3 linked regions of the Saccharomyces cerevisiae S288C genome follow. The protein of the gene in region 3 binds, or shares a complex with, the protein of the main gene of each other region. Each region holds a gene or a part of one and is shown on either strand. Other genes may lie near its edges. A codon is read from its position in the direction of its gene.

The links.
Region 1: the proteins of LCD1 (region 3) and MEC1 are in contact, whole or in part, in a cryo-EM structure (PDB 6Z2W), measured with the Saccharomyces cerevisiae proteins. Residues at the interface, in NP_010787.3 of Saccharomyces cerevisiae: Lys187 (codon at 4,105), Asn189 (codon at 4,099), Met190 (codon at 4,096), Val191 (codon at 4,093), Pro192 (codon at 4,090), Leu193 (codon at 4,087), Asn194 (codon at 4,084), Arg197 (codon at 4,075), Ile199 (codon at 4,069), Leu212 (codon at 4,030), Gln214 (codon at 4,024), Ile216 (codon at 4,018), Tyr233 (codon at 3,967), Gln308 (codon at 3,742), Phe309 (codon at 3,739), Arg310 (codon at 3,736), Pro311 (codon at 3,733), Asn345 (codon at 3,631), Met346 (codon at 3,628), Asn347 (codon at 3,625), Leu348 (codon at 3,622), His349 (codon at 3,619), Val350 (codon at 3,616), Glu351 (codon at 3,613), Pro352 (codon at 3,610), Ile354 (codon at 3,604), Gln356 (codon at 3,598), Tyr357 (codon at 3,595), Glu373 (codon at 3,547), Arg377 (codon at 3,535); in NP_009694.3 of Saccharomyces cerevisiae: Ser24 (codon at 5,931), Val26 (codon at 5,925), Ile28 (codon at 5,919), Asp67 (codon at 5,802), Ser71 (codon at 5,790), Glu82 (codon at 5,757), Tyr83 (codon at 5,754), Asn116 (codon at 5,655), Tyr117 (codon at 5,652), His118 (codon at 5,649), Arg119 (codon at 5,646), Trp121 (codon at 5,640), Phe122 (codon at 5,637), Arg125 (codon at 5,628), Ala133 (codon at 5,604), Glu136 (codon at 5,595), Phe137 (codon at 5,592), Tyr138 (codon at 5,589), Gly139 (codon at 5,586), Lys140 (codon at 5,583), Lys143 (codon at 5,574), Phe144 (codon at 5,571), Leu165 (codon at 5,508), Gly167 (codon at 5,502), Lys168 (codon at 5,499), Thr169 (codon at 5,496), Glu170 (codon at 5,493), Leu171 (codon at 5,490), Tyr186 (codon at 5,445), Tyr192 (codon at 5,427).
Region 2: the proteins of LCD1 (region 3) and RFA1 are in contact, whole or in part, in a crystal structure (PDB 8B4J), measured with the Saccharomyces cerevisiae proteins. Residues at the interface, in NP_010787.3 of Saccharomyces cerevisiae: Ser10 (codon at 4,636), Ser11 (codon at 4,633), Asp12 (codon at 4,630), Asp13 (codon at 4,627), Asp14 (codon at 4,624), Asp15 (codon at 4,621), Asp16 (codon at 4,618), Ile17 (codon at 4,615), Leu18 (codon at 4,612), Glu20 (codon at 4,606), Leu21 (codon at 4,603), Gly22 (codon at 4,600), Thr23 (codon at 4,597), Arg24 (codon at 4,594); in NP_009404.1 of Saccharomyces cerevisiae: Arg35 (codon at 2,264), Lys36 (codon at 2,261), Asn43 (codon at 2,240), Arg44 (codon at 2,237), Leu47 (codon at 2,228), Lys58 (codon at 2,195), Leu60 (codon at 2,189), Arg62 (codon at 2,183), Glu86 (codon at 2,111), Ala88 (codon at 2,105), Val90 (codon at 2,099), Glu92 (codon at 2,093), Arg93 (codon at 2,090), Lys95 (codon at 2,084), Val97 (codon at 2,078), Leu99 (codon at 2,072).

Annotation. Positions count from the first base shown.
Region 1 is NC_001134.8:504,167-511,667, reverse strand, and holds the start of MEC1 (protein kinase MEC1), read right to left. Parts: upstream 6,001-7,501; coding exon 1-6,000. Other genes in the region: cyclin-dependent protein kinase regulatory subunit CKS1, read right to left, coding at 6,362-6,814; HSL7 (protein arginine N-methyltransferase), read left to right, coding at 7,381-7,501. UniProt on the Saccharomyces cerevisiae protein: Serine/threonine protein kinase which activates checkpoint signaling upon genotoxic stresses such as ionizing radiation (IR), ultraviolet light (UV), or DNA replication stalling, thereby acting as a DNA damage sensor.
Region 2 is NC_001133.9:156,254-160,482, forward strand, and holds RFA1 (replication factor A subunit protein RFA1), read right to left. Parts: upstream 2,367-4,229; coding exon 501-2,366; downstream 1-500. Other genes in the region: COMPASS subunit protein SWD1, read left to right, coding at 1-32; tRNA splicing endonuclease subunit SEN34, read left to right, coding at 2,713-3,540. UniProt on the Saccharomyces cerevisiae protein: As part of the replication protein A (RPA/RP-A), a single-stranded DNA-binding heterotrimeric complex, may play an essential role in DNA replication, recombination and repair.
Region 3 is NC_001136.10:1,444,537-1,452,492, reverse strand, and holds LCD1 (Lcd1p), read right to left. Parts: upstream 4,664-7,956; coding exon 2,420-4,663; downstream 1-2,419. Other genes in the region: PLM2 (Plm2p), read right to left, coding at 1-1,140; 60S ribosomal protein eL37 RPL37B, read left to right, coding at 1,640-1,646, 2,036-2,295; SEC20 (Sec20p), read left to right, coding at 5,499-6,650; myo-inositol transporter ITR1, read left to right, coding at 7,026-7,956. UniProt on the Saccharomyces cerevisiae protein: Forms a complex with the serine/threonine kinase MEC1 which activates checkpoint signaling upon genotoxic stresses.

The DNA of each region.
Region 1 (7,501 bases), on a different chromosome or scaffold from region 3:
TAAAGATTTGCCTGATCTACTTGTAATGCTTTTGACATCTTGCAAACAGACACGAGTTAATGCTTTCGTTAAATCCAATGCACTAGAAACTAGATCATGAGGATTTTGCGAATGTTGTCTATACTTTTCTAAAATATGCTTACCACGAAGAACTCTTTTTGAAGAATTGGAATTTACAAGGGCTGTGATATACCATAAAATATGAGAGGGGTATTCAACAGCCAAACTTAGCAGTATGTGCATTATTATCTGGGCCGATGATTGATGAGAATGTAATAACCTAGATAACAACTGAGTCAAAACAAAGTACCAAATATAAGTGGGACAATGCTGCAGCGCTTCTTCAACATGACTACATATATCTTCCGTAGCCTTACTCAGCATTTCCTTTCTGTTTCCAGGAGCTTCAGAAATTGATGCGGCCGCAATATCTAGCCAAAACGTGATAACTTTGGGCAAATTTTCTCTTACTTTAGCAGTGTTCTTTTCAAATGCCAATAAAAAGTAAGATATTGCCCTGTACTCAAAACGACCATTAGTAATATAACCCTCTGCTTTTTTGCGCTCAAGTAGTCTACTATAGTATAAGCCAATAGAGTAATATGGTTTATCCCATTTAGAATCAATCTGAAAAATATCCTGATATTGTTTAATAATTTGTTCGGACGCTGAATTGTTCGAAAGGTCTAACCATTCAGTAAACTTTAATAGCACGGCGGCACGATCGCGAGCATTAACCGAGGAATTTTCTTGATACTTTTCATGTATTTCTTGCACTATCTTTAAGGCTCTATCATTCTCACCTTGCTTCCATAGTATTTCAGCAAACTCCAACTCTGCCTGAGGCAACCGCCTTTCCAAACAATGCATTAATGATTCGGAGGCTATATCTAGCCTAGCGTTGTTTCTCGCCAATTGGGCTAAAGTGAAGAATGTTTTTCCTAAGTCAGCGTCTGCTTGTTCATTCATTTTCAATTGGTCAAATGACTTTCTCATTGACAATATGTAATGATTTGGCACGAAGTCAGCCCCAATACGTTCCATTCGATAATCGAGTATGGTAGTGTTACTTTTGTATTCAAACTTATCTTTCGCAGAAGATAAAAAACTGAGGTCATATAAACTGTGTAATTTCATCAATAAATTCTGTTTCTTTAGCAGCGTCGTCTCTTTAGATGACGTTATAAAATTTGTTCCGATAAGCCTAAAGGAATTGTGGATGTATTTTTGAGTCCTTAATGGATCCTCGTTTGAGATGGCAATTAAAGCTTTCGCAATATTGTACTGCAAAAGTACTTCTCTATCGTCAATATTTCTTAAACTCTCTATTTGTTCTACCCAATTTTTCAAAGTTTGAACATTGCCTTCTAGATTTGCAGCTTCAAGACCTATGCTGTACCATTCCTTCACATCTGGAGACAAAGAAATTTTTCCGTCTGAAGAATGGAACGAAGAGTTCGATATTATTTGAGAATACAATTGGTGGTCATACATAGACTTTAGCATCCTGGTTGTAGTTTTGGGGTCATCTGAAAATTTGCCGAGGACATTAAAGCAGTCTTGTGCGAGTTTCCAGTTTTCAGAATATTGCAATTCTTCAATTTTAGAAACCAAGTTTCCTGTAGCAAAGGTTCTCAGTACACCATCGAGTGAGTCAATGTCTCCTATTTCTTCGTATGTGATTTGTAAATTTTTCAGTAGTTGTCCATTTTGGTTCTTATCGTGAGGATTCTGTCGATAGCACTGTTCAAGGTATAGAGCAGACCTTTCAAAAGAATCCGTCTCTAAGGAGCGTTGAGCTAGCAAATCTGAAGGGGTTGTTCGCAAAAACTCATCTATTCTCAAAAGCATGTTAGTTGTTTTCGTATCTTTAATGATAAAAGTGCCGTGTAGTTTACTGTAATTTTGTTTAAACTCAGTTGCCCATTTTTTGCAATATTCGAAAACTCTGAAGATGGATTCATAGCACATTCTTAACGAATCCACTTGCAAGTTATTCATTCCTTCCAGATTGCACGTGAAAATGCTGTCAAATTCAATAATAATCCCGTTTAAAATATCAGCGTATGGAGTTCCTTTTTCTGCCTTGATAATAATGTCCAGAGAAATATAAGGTAGCAAAAAATTTGATAGTGAGCCATCATCTTCCCTAATCAAAGAGGAAAACACGTGTAATGGATGATTTTCTGTTGTACCTGTTTTCAATAAATCCAATGTAAACCTTTTCACCCAAATTTTGTATCCTTCCTTGAAGTTATTAGAAGGATATTTTAGCGGGACATATTCTTTCCATGATTGCGCAAGATACAAGGAAGATAAAAGCGGATAGATGGTTGTCTTGGAGACAGAGTTAAACTTTTCCCATAGTTTGGCTTCATTTGGATATAATTCTTTATGGTTCATATCCCATGACTCTGAACTTAGCCCGCAATATTTTAATGATTCCTGTATGACAAGGGCAACAAACAATTGCTTGCTGGGATTCTCACTTTGCCAAAACGCAGGAACGAGGATATCATTTATGACCCATATCAAGAACTTAATAGTTTGAACACTATCATTCAAATCATAAACTTCGTTTTCTGAATATGTTGTTCTTTTAAACTCATGCTTTGTAACGTCTAAAACACCAATCATACTGATACATTTGGCGCACTTCTCGCATAGGTCCTTGTCTAAATTTCTAAACTTATGAGAAGTGTCTAATAAAGCACCCAAAACTAATGTTATATCAGAAGTTTGCCCAACCTTCTTTGGTGTAAAATCAATCGATCTTTCTGTCTGCTTTCTCCGAAGATATACCTCTATATCGTCTAAATTTTGGTTTATGACATACTTGTTACTACTTTTCAAGTTATTAGCAAATATGGGTATAAGGTCCGTGGTACTTCTTATTTTATTCACCATTCTTGCAAATTGGCCATCACGAGCTAAAATACCTAATTCAGGCTTGCCTACTAAAGCCAAAGTAGTGTAAGGTTTTAATTTCAAAATCAGGTCCGATTTCTCTTTGATTAAGGTATCCAGTATACTGTACACTATATTTCGAAGTTTTCCGTTGAACTCAGACCACTTTTGAAGTATGAATGCAATTAAGCTATCTATAACAGTAGAGAGTTCTTCATCATTTAGATGGCGAACTAACAGATGCCAACATCTAAAGGCCTCGTATCGAACTTCCTTAAGCCCAAGTCCTGTTTGCAAACAAATACTAATCTGGGCTAATGCGGAAATTATTGATTTTTTGGGGGCATATATGATAAGAAAAGAAATGCCATTGATAACCCTTAACTTTTCGTAGTAAGTGGTGCGGCCTTCAACATCATGTATGTCACTCGAAAAAACTTGGAAAATACCTAAGATATTATCCTGTAGTTTCTTTTGGAACGCTTGTTCCTGATCATCCGTCCAGTTATTGATATTTTTGTACTTCGAACCATGCCTTTTGTCTTTTTCAAAATTGGTGATTAAAAATCGCAAAGAGCATAAAATCATATTAGCATTCTCGCTGTCACTTGCATCTTTAGTAACGCTGTTTTTGTAGAGCTTCGTTATTTCAGCTAAAGTTTTATAATCGGGAAGGTATGCAGTTATATATCCTTTGTCAAAAGTTGGAGCCCTATTTAAAAAAAGGGTTTCCAAGATATCCAAAGAAAATAATCCGTGTTTTACCAAAGCTACGGCAAATATTTGCCTACTGTTTTTTTTCAGTAAATTAACCTTCATTTGGTTAATTAAACTTGTATCGCCATCACACATAATCTTAGCAATTTCACTTAGCACATCGCTCTTATATTGAATAATTGCATAAGGGATGATATATCTCTGGAAAATATCGAGAATTGTTTTTGAAGAATATCCCAATAATTCTATTAAATTTTGAAAGCCAACTTTTCTTTCCACGAGGTTTTTTCCCAACTGTCTTAGTAATACAGGTAAAATAGGCGATAGTAATTGATATGGTGTTTTCTTTAAAATTTTGGCCATATTTTTAATTTGCAAAGTCATCATTATTCGTAAACTATAATCATCAGAATTGAAAATATCAATCAGTTTCAAAAGTAGTGTATCAAATACATCATTAGAAGTCGTCAATGTTAATTGTGTCCAAGCAATGACTAAATTTTCTTTCACCACTGGCAATTTTTGAGATTGTAGAAACTTTATCAGCGTGGCAGTGTGTTCATCTTCGGAATTATGAGAGTCTGATATATTGAATAAAGGTATAATTCTAGTACTTAATAAACGTAGGTATCTGTTAGAATTCATAAAGCACTTTTGTACCAGTTTAAAGCTCTTATTGATTTGACCGTTTCCATCTGTAAGTTTTGGAGGTTGAAAGTGTGAAAATATCCTATGTAGAGAAAATAAGATGCCACTTAACAAAGATTCGCTAAATTCATCTATATTTGGGTGAGATAGAAAGTTTGAATGAAGTATCCTGAAGATTTCTGATTTACCCGCAGCCTCTGGTCTATTTGGATTTATTCGCACGAAAGGGTTGCCAGTTTTCTCAATATCGCATAAATGACAAACATACCAATTATCCATATCCTTTGTGGAATTTGGCAGAGTGCCGGAAAACTTCTCTGATTCTAGACAGGCTAGACGTCCGAGAATTACAGTCCATGATGTTAGCCTTGTTATATTGTTTGTCTTGAAACAAGTTTGAATGGATACAGATGCTTCATTTAAAATTAGCTTGAAATCGTTTCCAGCTCTTTGAAAAAATCCAGGACTTAGCTGGTTCACGCGGTATTTGAGCAAAGTTCCTCTTTCTGTCTTGTTAAACTTCTTTAGTACTAGCAACCTTAGCTTTTCCAGCTGCTTATATCGATCATCAAAGGGAGAAGTGACATTTTTCAAGCTCGAGTCCGGCTCCGATTGGTATACCCAGATGTTGAACTTATTATCGTACTTTAAAGCTTCAACAGGTAGGGACCTTCTTTTCAAATCAAAATATACAATCGAGAGAGCTTTATTAGTCAACTGCGTGAACGGAAAATGTTCACTTTGTGAAAAATCTGCCCACTGGTCAATTGGGAAGTGGTCTACAAAGCATTTTGAGAAATCGTTAGAAATGCAAAGAGAATATAGTCGAAGAATTCCTTTGGCCATAGTGGGGTCATTATCCAAGAGCCCATACTTGTTATCCAAAAAATGATGCATAGTAGTCAATACAAACTTTAATTGTTCACAACAAACTAACGCTGGGGCATCCAGGGCTGTGGAAATTGTTCTATTGCAAACATAGTCCACAACTAGAGAAATATATTTGAGTTGGATTTCGGCATATTCTAGTGCTGCTAGTTCGCAGGAATCAAAGACGTAAAGAACAATCCTGATTAATCGTTGGAAGTTAAAGTCAAATTTCGTGAACCCCAAAGAAGAATCTAAGAATGCTATAGAGTTCCCAAAAGTACTATACTCCGAAGTGAACCAGTATAAAAGAATGTATAGACCCTTCAAGGTGTCATAAAATTTGAGAAGCTCAGTCTTGCCCAACAAGACTTCAGTCAAGGCCTGTTCGTAAAGATTCATGGTGTTCTCAAAATGTGCAGTAAGCTGAAACTTAGCAGGTTTTCCGTAAAATTCGACACATGCTTTGCACCAGCTGCCTAATTTTCGCCTCATAAACCATATTCTGTGGTAATTATCATAGTTCAGAACGGATATGTTGAGGAAATCATCTATCAGCCTTTGTATCTCAAAGTTCCCGTTGGAATCCTTCATAACAAGCAAGAAGGGGTTGTACTCCAACAATAAGGCAAGGGCGGAAACTGTTTTCGAAAATATAGTATCATTTTTCATGATATTGTTCCTTCTTTGATCTTTTAGGTTTCTTATGAGGGTGTTCAGGATCTTTAAACTCTTGGCGTACTCCTGAGAAGAAGATGGATCCGTGGGCACTTTTTTAATCTGCACCTTTGAATCCACCCCCGAGTTCAGGTCTTTTATTGCCAATATCAATTCGTCAAGATATTTGACGTGTGATTCCATGCAGTCTTGTGGGCCTTTACGCGGTGTATGTCGTTCTTGTTGTCCAGCCTCACTTTGTCTTCATTAATCATCTCTCTTCAAAATTGTCCGTCGGCGGGTATTTTTTTCTAGTTGACTAGTTTTGGAGCGTGCGTTCCATCTATTTGATTTATAAGGGAAAGAAGAAATTTATTTGAAGGATATTCACTATATAAATTTTATTTGTATTCTAATGCTTGTTGGTGAAAACTATGATCCATAGTTTTTTTTTTTTTTGTTTGCTTGTTTGTTTATTCTTTATTATGATAAGTACATAGTATGCTCCATATAGTTATGGAGCCTTGAAAAGGAATTCAATTTCAGTAATTAGAGTATATCAAAGCTAGGAGATTTGGGGTGGAACTTGCATATCGTTCGAAATCGATTGTGTTTGATGTTGCTGTTGTTGTTGTTGCTGCTGTTGCTGCTGTTGCTGTTGCTGTTGAGCAGCAGCGGTCGCTGCCCTCAGCTCGGCCTCGTAGTTCAGCGGCCTTTTGAATAGCAAAATGTGTGGTTCTGGCGCATGGCATTCATAATGTTCCCACCCCAAAGACTGTGTGATGCCGAGGCCTCTCCATTCGTCTTCTGTTAATATACGCAGGGTCCCCACTTCCGAATTGAAGTAATCAGATGGGATAACTTTTAGCATGGCCTTAGGTAACATCACATGCCTGTACTCATAGTTATCGTCTGAGTACCGCGGAGAATAGTGAATGGAATCTTGAAACTCCAACACGCGTGCTCTTTCTTGGTCAGTAAGCTTTCTGCCTTGGAAGGCGTGATAGTGATGGTACATAGTACTGTAAGACGAGAGTAAGTGCGTGTCAATCTAGTTGTATCCAACGCGGCCAGCAGTTCCAAGAACTTACGACAGAGTTGTAATGAATGCTACTGATGTCTGCTCTACTGCCATCCGCTGTCCTTTCATGCATAAAAGCTCCATTCTTTATTTATCTCATACCACGAGAAAAAAAAATCACCTGACATATTTTTATAACCCGCCTTTTAGACCCTAAAACAGATCTCAGGGCTCGAGTACTGTTTTATCTGAAAATTCTTCGAGCCCTCGTTTTGCACTGAGCTAAACCAAAAGAAAAATAAACAATCACAAATGGAACCCGAAACAGCACGCTGCGCAGTGTTTTTATATTTTTTTGAAACAAATGGCTTTATACAATGTGTATGTGTGATAGAAAAAATGGTATATTTCGAGTGACTTGTGATCCTATTCCCAAGCCCTATAGGAGCTATTTCAAATTGCGTGTGTGAAAGCGTGTGTGTGTGTGTGTGTGTGGAATTGTGCGGACGTTCCTCTTCTTTTATACATATAATTTTTATATATACAAAGGGTTCAGTTTGCATATGCATAGCAACGTATTTGTTGGTGTCAAACCAGGCTTTAATCATAAACAGCACAGCAAAAAGTCACGTTTCCTAGAAAATGTCTCTAGTCATTCACCAGAACTGCCTAGTAACTATGATT
Region 2 (4,229 bases), on a different chromosome or scaffold from region 3:
ATACGAGGATAATTAAGATGCAGTCATCATAGGTTTCTCTTCAAAAGGAGAAAGTTTAAATAGGCAACTGACACTGAAGAGGTATAGTCATGCCTACCGCGATTTCTTTGACACAGAATTGAAAAATTTTGCATTTTTTGGTAATTTCCTAATAATACGAAGTGCAATAATCTCACTTTGATAGGAGCACGTCATGATGGTAATTTCATACTACTGAACGTAAATGTTGAAGGTGAATTTGTAAAGCTTTGTTATTTGAAGCTGTACACCTAAAGGGCGGTAAATTGTTGGGTGTTAGTACCATGCCATTAATTAGAATTTGTTAGCATTTTTATTCATTTGTGCATTATGGGTTCAAATTCATATGACTGAACGTGTAGTTTCATATCCAGTCATCAAGAGATGCTGAACCGCCCTTCAAAAACTTGACGAAATAGAAGTTTTTTTTTTACATTTCTCATATGTTACATAGATTAAATAGTACTTGATTATTTGATACATTAAGCTAACAAAGCCTTGGATAACTCATCGGCAAGATAGTCGGCTTCAGCCCTGTAATTCAAGCTGTGTAGGTTAGCAACGGTATATCTAATTCTGCTTTGATCATTGTATGTATCCTCACGCGCTCTAATCCTAAAGTCATATTCGTTCATTTGGATACTTTGAGTAATTTTTGTGAATTCGTTGGGGTCTTCTTCCTTCAAAGACATTAATGTATTAGCATCAACACCCAATAATTGTTTAGCTTGGTCGTCAAATAAAGTGAGCCATAGTTGATTGGTTTCGTCAATAATTGATATTGTCAAGATGTATCTCCAATTTGGCCTTGCATTATTGGTGTCGCACTTCTCACATCTCCAAGTACCATCAGGCTGTTCCAGAACTTTCTTATTACAATTCTCATTAGAACAGGCAGGATATGCAAAATTATCAACTTTTAAGAAACTTATAGCAGCTTTAACACTAAAAAAGTCACCTTTCTCGCTTCTTCCTAGATTTTCAGCTTGAGCTCTAGCAATAGTAATACGCTGAGCAATGAATTTTGTTAAGCTAGCAGCCGATTGACCACCCATACCGGGTTCTTGCTTTAAAGTGATGAAGTTTGCGTTGCGGCCCTTGGAATCATACCAACCCTTTAAGGCATATGCCTCAGGAATTTCTGGATTCGGAATCAGGGTACTAGAAAATCCCATAGACAAAGATTTGCCACCAAAATCCGTCACACGAACACCTTTAATGGCAGCAACAGAACCTTCAGGAAGGTTGAAATCAAGGGCTTGCTGATTCCATAGGCCAACAGAGATAGAAAACCCAGAGTCGTCAACAATTGTGATGTCACGACGATCGAATTTCTTCCCAGCCCTTGAAGTTAGCTCAAAATGTGGGTTTATAGTTTGGATAATACCGAGGACGTCTACGTTGGAATTTACTTCCTGGTTCTGAATAGCATCTAGTTTGATGAAATTGAAATGGGTTTTCGGAACATTACTTTCATCGAAACATTCTTCTATAACAGTGTCTCTATCCAAATTCAGTTCATAAGGGTGTGTTAGATTAGTAAATTGGGGCTTAGCTGGTTGGAGTTTTGCCTTTGATACATAGTATACTTTGCCTTCTTGTAAAATTTCGTTAAATTTTGTAGCAAAATCATTAAACGCCGTGGCTCGGATTTCTCCAGAGGTATCCAAGAAGTTGACATTGAATAGTTTACCATCACCTCTTTGATTGTGCCACGTTTTAATTTCTCCCTTGTAGGAAACTCTTGCTTTGATAGTCCAAACGTTTTGGTATGGAGACAGTTGTTCGATGGCAAAAATTGGTCTGGTTTTTTGCGAATTAGGGTTTTCATTGGCGAATTTTCTCTCATTTGCATTCAAGTTTGAGTTTGAATGCAGCATATCAGGGACACCAGCATTGCTGGCGTTTGTTTGATTGGCAACATTACCACTGTCAGTTATATCTTCGTCTTTTAAGGTTTCATTTGGATGCTCTGAGAAATAGTTATCCAAAAAAGTACTAGTTTGGTTGACCATATCAGCACGCGACTGGACCAACTCAAAGTCATCTACTAAAAGAACGTATTTCTTTCTTTCCCTGACAATAGCAGGTTCTGCAATTATCACGCGAATGATATCACCCCTTTGTAGTTCCATTGACTGGAACTTGGATGCAGCTTGGTTTCTCAACAGAGCCTTCATATGGTAAATACCATCGGAAATCATGATCAAATTCTTTCTGTTGCTGTTAGCCCCATCAGATTTCCTGGTGTTATAAACTTGATAAACGCCACCGGTGGGATTATCGTACCTTTGCTTATTGGTGAAGATGCTATGAAAATCGCCCCTCGAAAGTTGAACACTGCTCATCTCTTGTAAGTATAATCTGGTCTTCTTGCTGGTTTCGCCTTTACCGTAATAAGAAGAGTGAATAGTTTTTGTTTTACGTGTAGAACTTAAAGTGATAACATTTGTTCAAGTAAACCTTTATGTTAGTTCACGCGTCTTTTGTCGCCTCGTCTAATTTTTACGCGTGACATTTTTCCAAGCAGAGATATTTTATTGAGCAGCGAAGAAGAGTTAGAGAATAAGAAAGTGATGCGATAAGAAATCCACCCAATTAGCATAGATCCTTTCGTATATGGCTGAAGAAGGTGGTACGCGCATAGCTATTAACATATATGCAAAAAGAACGGCAAAAGGCGAGGAGGTTTTTATGCCACCGCTAGTATTTGACATAGATCACATCAAACTTCTAAGGAAATGGGGTATTTGTGGTGTGTTATCTGGAACTTTGCCTACTGCAGCACAGCAAAATGTATTTTTGTCGGTACCTTTGAGGCTTATGTTAGAAGATGTGCTGTGGCTGCATTTGAACAATCTTGCCGATGTGAAATTAATAAGACAAGAGGGAGATGAGATTATGGAGGGAATAACATTAGAGCGGGGCGCCAAACTATCTAAAATTGTCAACGATCGTTTGAACAAGTCATTTGAATATCAGAGAAAGTTCAAAAAGGATGAACACATTGCAAAATTAAAGAAAATCGGTAGAATCAATGATAAAACCACAGCTGAAGAATTGCAACGGCTTGATAAATCTAGCAATAATGACCAGCTAATTGAATCTTCTTTGTTCATTGACATTGCTAATACCTCTATGATTTTAAGAGACATACGGAGTGATTCAGACAGCTTATCCCGCGATGATATCAGTGATTTGTTATTTAAGCAGTACAGACAGGCAGGAAAAATGCAGACCTATTTCTTATACAAGGCATTGAGAGATCAAGGGTACGTTTTGTCCCCAGGTGGACGTTTTGGTGGGAAGTTTATAGCATACCCTGGTGATCCTCTTCGTTTCCATTCACATCTGACGATACAAGATGCGATTGATTATCATAATGAGCCGATTGACCTAATATCCATGATAAGTGGTGCAAGACTAGGAACGACTGTGAAAAAACTTTGGGTCATAGGCGGTGTTGCGGAAGAGACAAAGGAAACTCATTTCTTCTCAATAGAATGGGCTGGATTTGGTTAAGCTGGGAATCAGTCATGTATAATTATTTTCTCAGAATTTATGTATTTATAAGGTTTTTCAGAAGCATACATATGTGTAATACAATTTTTAAATTTGCATTGATATTTTGATGCATTCAGCGGGAAAGTAGTTGTTTATCACTAGACATATAATTATGTTTATTTATATTTAGTGGGAGCAAAACAGTTTATTGAATGTTTACCAGAACCGAAAAAAAAGCTCTTCTAAACTGTTGACATCCAGTTCATTTACTTCCACGTGTAGATGTGAAGGAACAAATATTTTAGCATCGTTCATACAAGTAATTATGCTATATTATCGATCCTCGGATTTCAGCTTCCGTTATATCGGATGATTGTTACTCGACCTTTATGTCGTCTTTTTACATCATATATGATAATATGCTAGCAGTTTTAATACAAATTGATCGAAGATAGTTGGTTCTGAGAAATGGGTGAATGTTGAGATAATTGTTGGGATTCCATTGTTGATAAAGGCTATAATATTAGGTATACAGAATATACTAGAAGTTCTCCTCGAGGATATAGGAATCCTCAAAATGGAATCTATATTTCTACATACTAATATTACGATTATTCCTCATTCCGTTTTATATGTTTATATTCATTGATCCTATTACATTATCAATCCTTGCGTTTCAGCTTCCACTAATTTAGATGACTATTTCT
Region 3 (7,956 bases):
GGTTGTAGAAGACAGCTCTTTAGTTTTTTTTGCAACTGCTGCGAAAGATTCTTCTTCATTAATGCCACCACTCCTAGTACTGGCACTTAATGTCCCAATTATTTTATCTTTAGGAAGTGGTGTCTCTTGTATAGTGTTATTTTTCAATGAAATTGATTTACGCTTCAGTTTCTTTGGAGTTGATGGCTGATTAATAACGAAAGATGTTTGGGGTGTTGTTCTATAACTAATGGGGGAGTTTTTCACAAGAGCAGGAGATGCAATAAGTAATGGTTTTGAGATCTGTTCTGTACGAGGTGAATGCTCAACTGGGACAAATTTCATCGAAGGTGTTTCTTTTTGCCAAGAAAAATCATCGCTCGTTGTTGTTAATAAACACAACTCATCCTCCGTTTCTGTCGAGTTCTCTTCGTCAAAGTTATTGTTGCCATCGCCAGGATAAGGTGCTACTTTTTTCAATGAAAGACAGACTGTGACGCCTGTAAAATTTATGAAACTTCCTTGGATATAGGGGAAAGTAACAGTTTCACCTTTAGCCAAAACAAAGCTGATGAAGTTTTGGTTCTTTTGAAGAGTTTTTCCATGCGATTGTTTAGTATTTTGCGAGGTCAAAGGCTCTTCTGCCACTAGTTTATAAAAGTTCCTTGTTGGGAAGGGTTTTACCAAATGCAACTGCATGGAGTAAGGCAAGTGAACGGACAACCCATTAGTTCCATTACATTCCAATTTTATTTCATTTCTGTCGGCGGCGTATGAAATAAAAGCGTGCTGCCTAGAGATATTCTTTCTGCATGGCAAAATAATGTTGCAGACTGATTTTTTCCTACCGATGGCTAAACGTGAGGGATCCGATGCATCTAATTCAATCTCGATAGGGCCTGCAAGCACCTTTTCTTGCTTTGAAGGAGATGACAAGGCAGATTTGGTCTCATTTAAACGTGAAGTGATATCTTTCACTGGTGAAGATTGTCTTCCGATGCTAGACGACGGGTCTGGAGTAGGATACTCTTCCAATTCGTAATTATACCGTTTTCTTCCTAAGGTCAATACAGAAGTATTAGCAAGCTTACCAGGTTCTTTTTGTGGGCTTTCCAAAGGTTTACCAGCAACTGGTGATGATGGTGGGAAGAGATGGGACATAACCAAAATTGTGACGATTTTGTCGTGAAACTTCTAGCGAAAAGACTAATGAAATCGGCAAATATTGTGTAAATAGTATACCAAAAAAAAAAACGCTTCTATATATTGTTCCCCGTTGCTAGTAACGATAGAAACGGCAAATAAGGAGAGAAATTAAACTTTCTTGGGAGAGGCAGAAGTGTTTACTTATTCTTCTGAAACAAAAACAAACGCGAAAAAAAAATTATCGCGTTTGGATTATCATTATTTAGACATTAACACCTGTACATATTTGTATTTTAAAAGCCGAACATTTTTGGGTTCTATATCAGTTTTTTTTTTCTTCAAGCACTCCGTACACCACTAATATTATCACTGAGAATCTTCCTGCCACTTGCGGGAAGGATGAGATTGGAAACATGGCTGGAATAGTAAGCATAGGTTACTATAGAAAGCGGTAACAAAAAGCACTACTATGTGTAGATAAAGAACAAAGAGGTAAACGAATATATAAGTAAAGATGGGTAGTATGTACAGGAATTATTAATTGATGAGTCAACGTTCAATCACATCCGGTCTGATTTAGAGGATTACATGAGAAAGAAGCACTGAAAAAATTTTCCACCAGGAGAGGCCAGGTAAACTAAGACCTACGTTATTCACTATGCCAAAAGATTTAAAAATATAGAATGATGAATGTTGCCAGAGCCATTGATGATAAGAAATTGCACATAACGGATGCATAAAGAGCGAATAAAAAGATTTGAGTGTCAATACAAAAAGGTGAGAAGAAATAGTGTAAGACAGCAACACACATCTAGACCGCCAATGAAGTTGTTCTGAATCCAGCAGTAGAGTTTATTTAGTTCAAAGTTTTACTAACGATAATTAACTTTTATGTTTTCATTTTAAACAGAGGGTACTCCTTCATTCGGTAAGCGTCACAACAAATCTCACACCTTGTGTAACAGATGTGGTCGTCGTTCTTTCCATGTTCAAAAGAAGACCTGTTCCTCTTGTGGTTACCCATCCGCTAAGACTAGATCTCACAACTGGGCTGCCAAGGCAAAGAGAAGACACACTACTGGTACCGGTAGAATGAGATATTTGAAGCATGTCTCCAGAAGATTTAAGAACGGTTTCCAAACCGGTTCTGCTAAGGCTACTTCTGCTTAAATTTGATATTATCTATAAGTTTTGTTCTTTCCTAAAACGAAAATAATATAAATTATATATAGTTAATATTAAGCATTACAAGGTTTCTATAAAGCGTTGACATTTTCCCCTTTTGATTGTTGCCTTACAGTCCCATTGAGATATATAATGAATCGGCCTCCTCTAGTGTGGTTAGATCGAATGATTTTGACTCAAGAATAGTTCTTGCCATTTCTTGAAATTTCTCATCGTACTTTACTTGCATTATTCTCCCCGTTCTTTTATTCAATTGCATCTTCAATTCTTCTTCGATATATTCTGGTAAATCCTCAAAGGCATCTTCGTAATAAGAGGCTTGATCCTTTATCGTCAGATCATGCAAACTATCTACAAGGTGTCGATGATCTCTCATTTCTCTTTCGTTTGCTGTCACAGTTTCGGTTTGGCATACGAGAAACCTCCATAGTGACATAATCAATTGGCTTTCTACCTGCTTGATTTGTTCTTCACGCAATTGTTTGAAATGGTCTTTCCATAGCCTATATATTATGGTTAAAGTATGTTCAATAAGATGGCATCTGAGGTCCAAGTTCGGGGAGTCTTGTCCCACGTACCTTTCTATCATTAACGCTTGCTCCCTGGATAAGAATTTAGAGGAGTGGATGAGCATTTCTCCATTTACTATGGTCGCATCGTCTCCATAGATCATTAATAAATTTTCAAAAATATTTAAAACTTCATCTTTTAACTTCAAAAGCCATTTTTCCATCTTGTAACCTATTATAGGGGCAGTGAATTTGTCGCTATCCATCCCAATATCCTCTTTAGAAATTACCCTTGGGACACTTTGCAATCGGTCAGTATAAATCAGCTTTGATATCAATCCTCCCAATTCATTATCACCTATATTTCGGATTAACCCAAAAAAGTCATGGTACTTCGACATATGAAGAGTTGTAGTATCCACATTTTCATTATATACGTCGCCACTCTTAATTTCCTTTTCCAAAAGAGCGTATAATCTTGTAATACAATCTCTCCACCAACTACCGCTTATCAAGGATTTCAGATCTGAGGAATTGTCCATATTTAATATTATACTAGTGATAATATTAACGACCTCGACTGCACTAAATATTACATTTACCATTGGCTTGTATGAAATGGTTAGTGCTAGTTTGTAGACAAATTCAAATGATTTTAGAATATTTTCATCAAAAAATTCCATATAAGTTTGCTTAGGATGCGACTGCAGTACCCTTAATATACCTTCTAGGAGATCAAAGGAATACGAAATTATCAAATAGTCTATCAGTTCATATTGGAAAATCTGAGGTTCTACATGCAAATTCATATTTGATTCATGTATCGGTACTTTCAATACATGATGATAGATTCTTATTAAATCGCAAATAAAAAGAAAACAATCCTTCAGTGCTAAATTATGAGTGGCACTAGGACGAAATTGTACAATCTGATACATCAATGCAACGAGAAATGGGACAGCTAATTTCGATTCATTTGGATGAACTGATATTTCCTTGATCAAAACAGCTATATCCTCTAGCAAAGTATCTATGAACCTGTCGAGGGTCAACGTCTTTTTACATCGCAAAAGTAGAGAAACTATGGACTTCCCTATGGGGGCTCCTTTAGCAATGACGAAATTCTTAAATTTAAACTCTGTGATGTAGTCAAGCTTCAATCTATTTAATATTTCTATTGTGCTCAGGTCAGCGCCTATTATTTGATGAAGTAATATTGACTCTAGAAATAAACTCGTTTCATCGGGAATAATCCTATTTGGGTTTAGGGGAACCATATTTTTTTTCAGTAAATTATCACTTATCTTACGTTTTTTTGATTGTGGTGATTGAGGTTTTGCTTCGATTGCAACTGAGGACGAATCTGGCGTTATAGTGTTTGTGTTTGTTGATAATGTTGTTGACGGTGGTTTTACATTCGTAATAACTTCCCTTTTCGATTTTCCTCTCGCTTCCATCTGTAAGAACTTCTTCTCATCTTCCAGTTTCTGTAATTCTTGTTTTAATTTAGCCAACTCTTGAAGATGCTTGACTTGCAATTCATTAACTTTGACGGCTTGAATATTCTTTTCCTTTTCCCTTTCAATGTTCAAAAAGTTTATTTTATCACGAAGCATGCTTGCTTCACCTTGAGCTTTATTCAGTTGGTTAACCAGTTGGTTATCATTTTTACTCTGTTTATTGTTTAATGTGGTCGTTGTAACCTCCAAAGTAGTGGGAATTTGTGTTTGTAATGCTGCTGATGATGGCGGTATTTGAGTAAACCTTGGAGGCCTGGTGCCTAATTCCAAAAGAATATCATCATCGTCATCTGAAGAAAATTCACCCACCGTTTCTCGTCTCATCTATAATAGAAATATGCAAAAGAGTTTGATGATTGTGTTGACGTTTCGTGCACTATCGCGTATTTGTTTGCTTTTTATTTTATTGCATGTGCTGTTTTCCCCAAAAAATCGATGGAACGCTCGGATTTGGCTAGAGGCGGGAAAAATCACCAATAATCGAAGAAAATAGAAGAACCAAGATACTAATAGCTCTTTGTAAGATAAATTTTGGAGTTACTACAGGTTACTATCCTTATTCAGAGACTTTTTACTGCTTTGCTCCTAATATTTAGTAGGAAAGAGCGAGCCTGTCTGACTCTTTTTTTTTTAAAAAAATTCAAGGTAAAACCTAACTAAACATAAAATTTCCACTCGAGTTATTCCGCTTAAAAGTGCTTAACATCGGTGCCACACAATACGAACCTTAGTAGAGAACCGACCGTTACCTCTTTATTAGCCCTAGTTTGTACCACTTAAGCTCTAATTCCAATCTAATGTGTGTGTATTTTTTTCTATTGTTAGCGCCGCACCAAAGAGGATCATGGTAAATACAATTACATAAAGAAAAGAAAAGCAACAAAACAGCTTCGTTTGCACCTTTAGCAAACGTTGGAATTTTCCTAATCTCAAAACAAGTGGTAAATCTAATCCCACACTAAAGAAAGCACGTCTTTACCAGTGACTTTATCAATAAATCACCTGCACACGCTGTCCGGGTAAATAGAATTGTTACTAAATAATGAAAAATACATTCGCAGTTGTAAAAATGCCAACAGAAATACCTGATATACAGTTAACAAGTAAGATCGGATCACGCTGCCAAGGCGCATAACAAACTATAAAGCCATTAAAGATTATGGTCGTGACATTTTTGCAGGACCTGGAAGTTTTGCAAGATGCATTATTAAATAATTTGCAAAAATTAAGTGCAATCTCCCGCAGAAAAGAAAGCGGAGAAAGCAAGCATGATAATAAGGACAGTTTTGCAGCCATTGCCAACGAACACAATGATGAAGAAGAAGAGATTGAATTTGAGGATTTGGTGAATATTATAGAGAGCAAAGTTTCAGATTTCGAATCGGTACTGAAATGTAGTATTGTGGAAATGACCTACAAATACCCCGAATTAAAATTACAGTGGGAAAAAAGCCCTAGATACGATCAATGCGATAAGTTGCATATTGTGAAGCTTGATAAACAAATGAACGAGGACATATATGCTCAGTTGGTCGAAGAACTGGATTTCGTGTTGCAATTCGTCGATTGGTTCTATTGCTACCGCCTGAAAGTCAAAGAGATTCTACGACAACACCACAAACGTGACTTAGCTTGGAACGACGAGAAAAGAGACCGCGCTATAAAATTTCACGCTGTGGATTACGACAAGCTTCACCAAGGAACGTCGTCATCGTCAAGCTTAACGTCCACATCGATGGAAAAAGCCAGCACTAGAGAGAAGCTTTTGAGCAAAACAAAACAACTGACGAATAACTTGGTGAGAGGAAATCAAATTTTGCAGTCCGGAATTTTACAAAGTGACCTGAATTTGGATGAATTGAGAGCCCAAACCAATTCCTTAACACAAATCGATGACAAGTACACTCAATTCGAAACCGTCTTCAAGAAAACTGCCGATTTGGTCAAAGTACTGGAAAATGCCTCCCATCAAGAGAAACGAGATGTCTATTTATCACTTGGGTTCCTCCTATGCTGCGTCTCGTGGGTTCTATGGCGTCGTATTTTCAAGTTACCTGTTAAACTCGGCCTCTGGCTGCTATTCAAGTTTTTCAAGGGTATACTCGTCACCCTAGGTCTAGTTAAAAGCTATGCAGGCTCCTCGTCCTCTCTTCAAGCACCCAGTCTTGTGCTAAATGCACCCATTCTAGCCACTACAACTACATCCTCAGCAACCTCTGTGGAACCATTCGCATCTGTATCAGCCGTCAGTAGTATCCAGCGGGCTGTCGATGAGGCCGTGGACAGGATCGTCTCACATGATGAGCTATGATAATTTTAACATCTATATAACATAATAAGCGCATATACTTAGTTCTCTCCATCCTCTCCATTTATTTTCTCTCACCATTGTTTCTGTTCTCTTCACATGCGTTAGGTATAGCTTATACCCCCCACTGGTTGCGCTAAATACGCCTTCCCCACCGCATGTGAAAAAAGCTCGACCAAGCTCAACGCGCTGTTGCAAAATGGAAAAAATATAAAAGGAATCAAGCCATAGTTGAGAAAAGACCTTTCACACTTGGGCTTTTCTTTGGCAGGTGTTTGCTCTATTCTTCTCTTTCAGTTTGGTGCGCTATTCAGATTTATTGGTCGTCCTACTGTATACATCTCTTTCATTTTCTTTGTTTCTGCAGTGGGTGTTAAAATGGGAATACACATACCATATCTCACGTCAAAGACATCGCAATCAAATGTTGGTGATGCCGTTGGCAACGCTGATAGTGTAGAGTTCAACAGTGAGCATGACTCACCTTCAAAGAGAGGTAAAATTACACTTGAGTCACATGAAATACAGAGGGCTCCCGCTAGCGATGATGAAGATAGGATTCAAATTAAACCCGTGAACGACGAGGATGACACGTCGGTCATGATCACTTTTAACCAATCTCTTTCGCCCTTCATCATCACTCTGACTTTTGTCGCATCCATATCCGGTTTCATGTTTGGTTACGACACTGGTTATATATCCAGTGCGCTGATCTCGATCGGCACAGATCTGGACCACAAGGTACTTACTTATGGGGAGAAGGAAATTGTCACTGCGGCTACCTCTCTGGGAGCTTTGATTACCAGTATTTTCGCCGGTACTGCAGCTGACATATTTGGTAGGAAACGTTGTTTAATGGGTTCGAATCTGATGTTTGTCATTGGCGCAATCTTACAGGTCTCCGCACACACATTCTGGCAAATGGCTGTTGGTAGACTGATCATGGGTTTCGGTGTCGGTATCGGCTCCTTGATCGCGCCACTTTTCATCAGTGAAATTGCTCCCAAAATGATCAGAGGGAGACTAACTGTCATCAATTCCTTATGGTTGACTGGTGGTCAATTAGTCGCTTACGGTTGCGGTGCTGGGTTAAACTACGTCAACAATGGTTGGAGAATTCTTGTTGGATTGTCACTAATTCCCACTGCTGTGCAATTCACATGCCTGTGCTTTTTACCTGACACTCCAAGATACTACGTTATGAAGGGCGACTTGGCAAGGGCTACTGAGGTGTTGAAGAGAAGTTACACTGACACTTCGGAGGAAATCATTGAACGTAAGGTGGAAGAACTTGTTACTTTGAATCAAT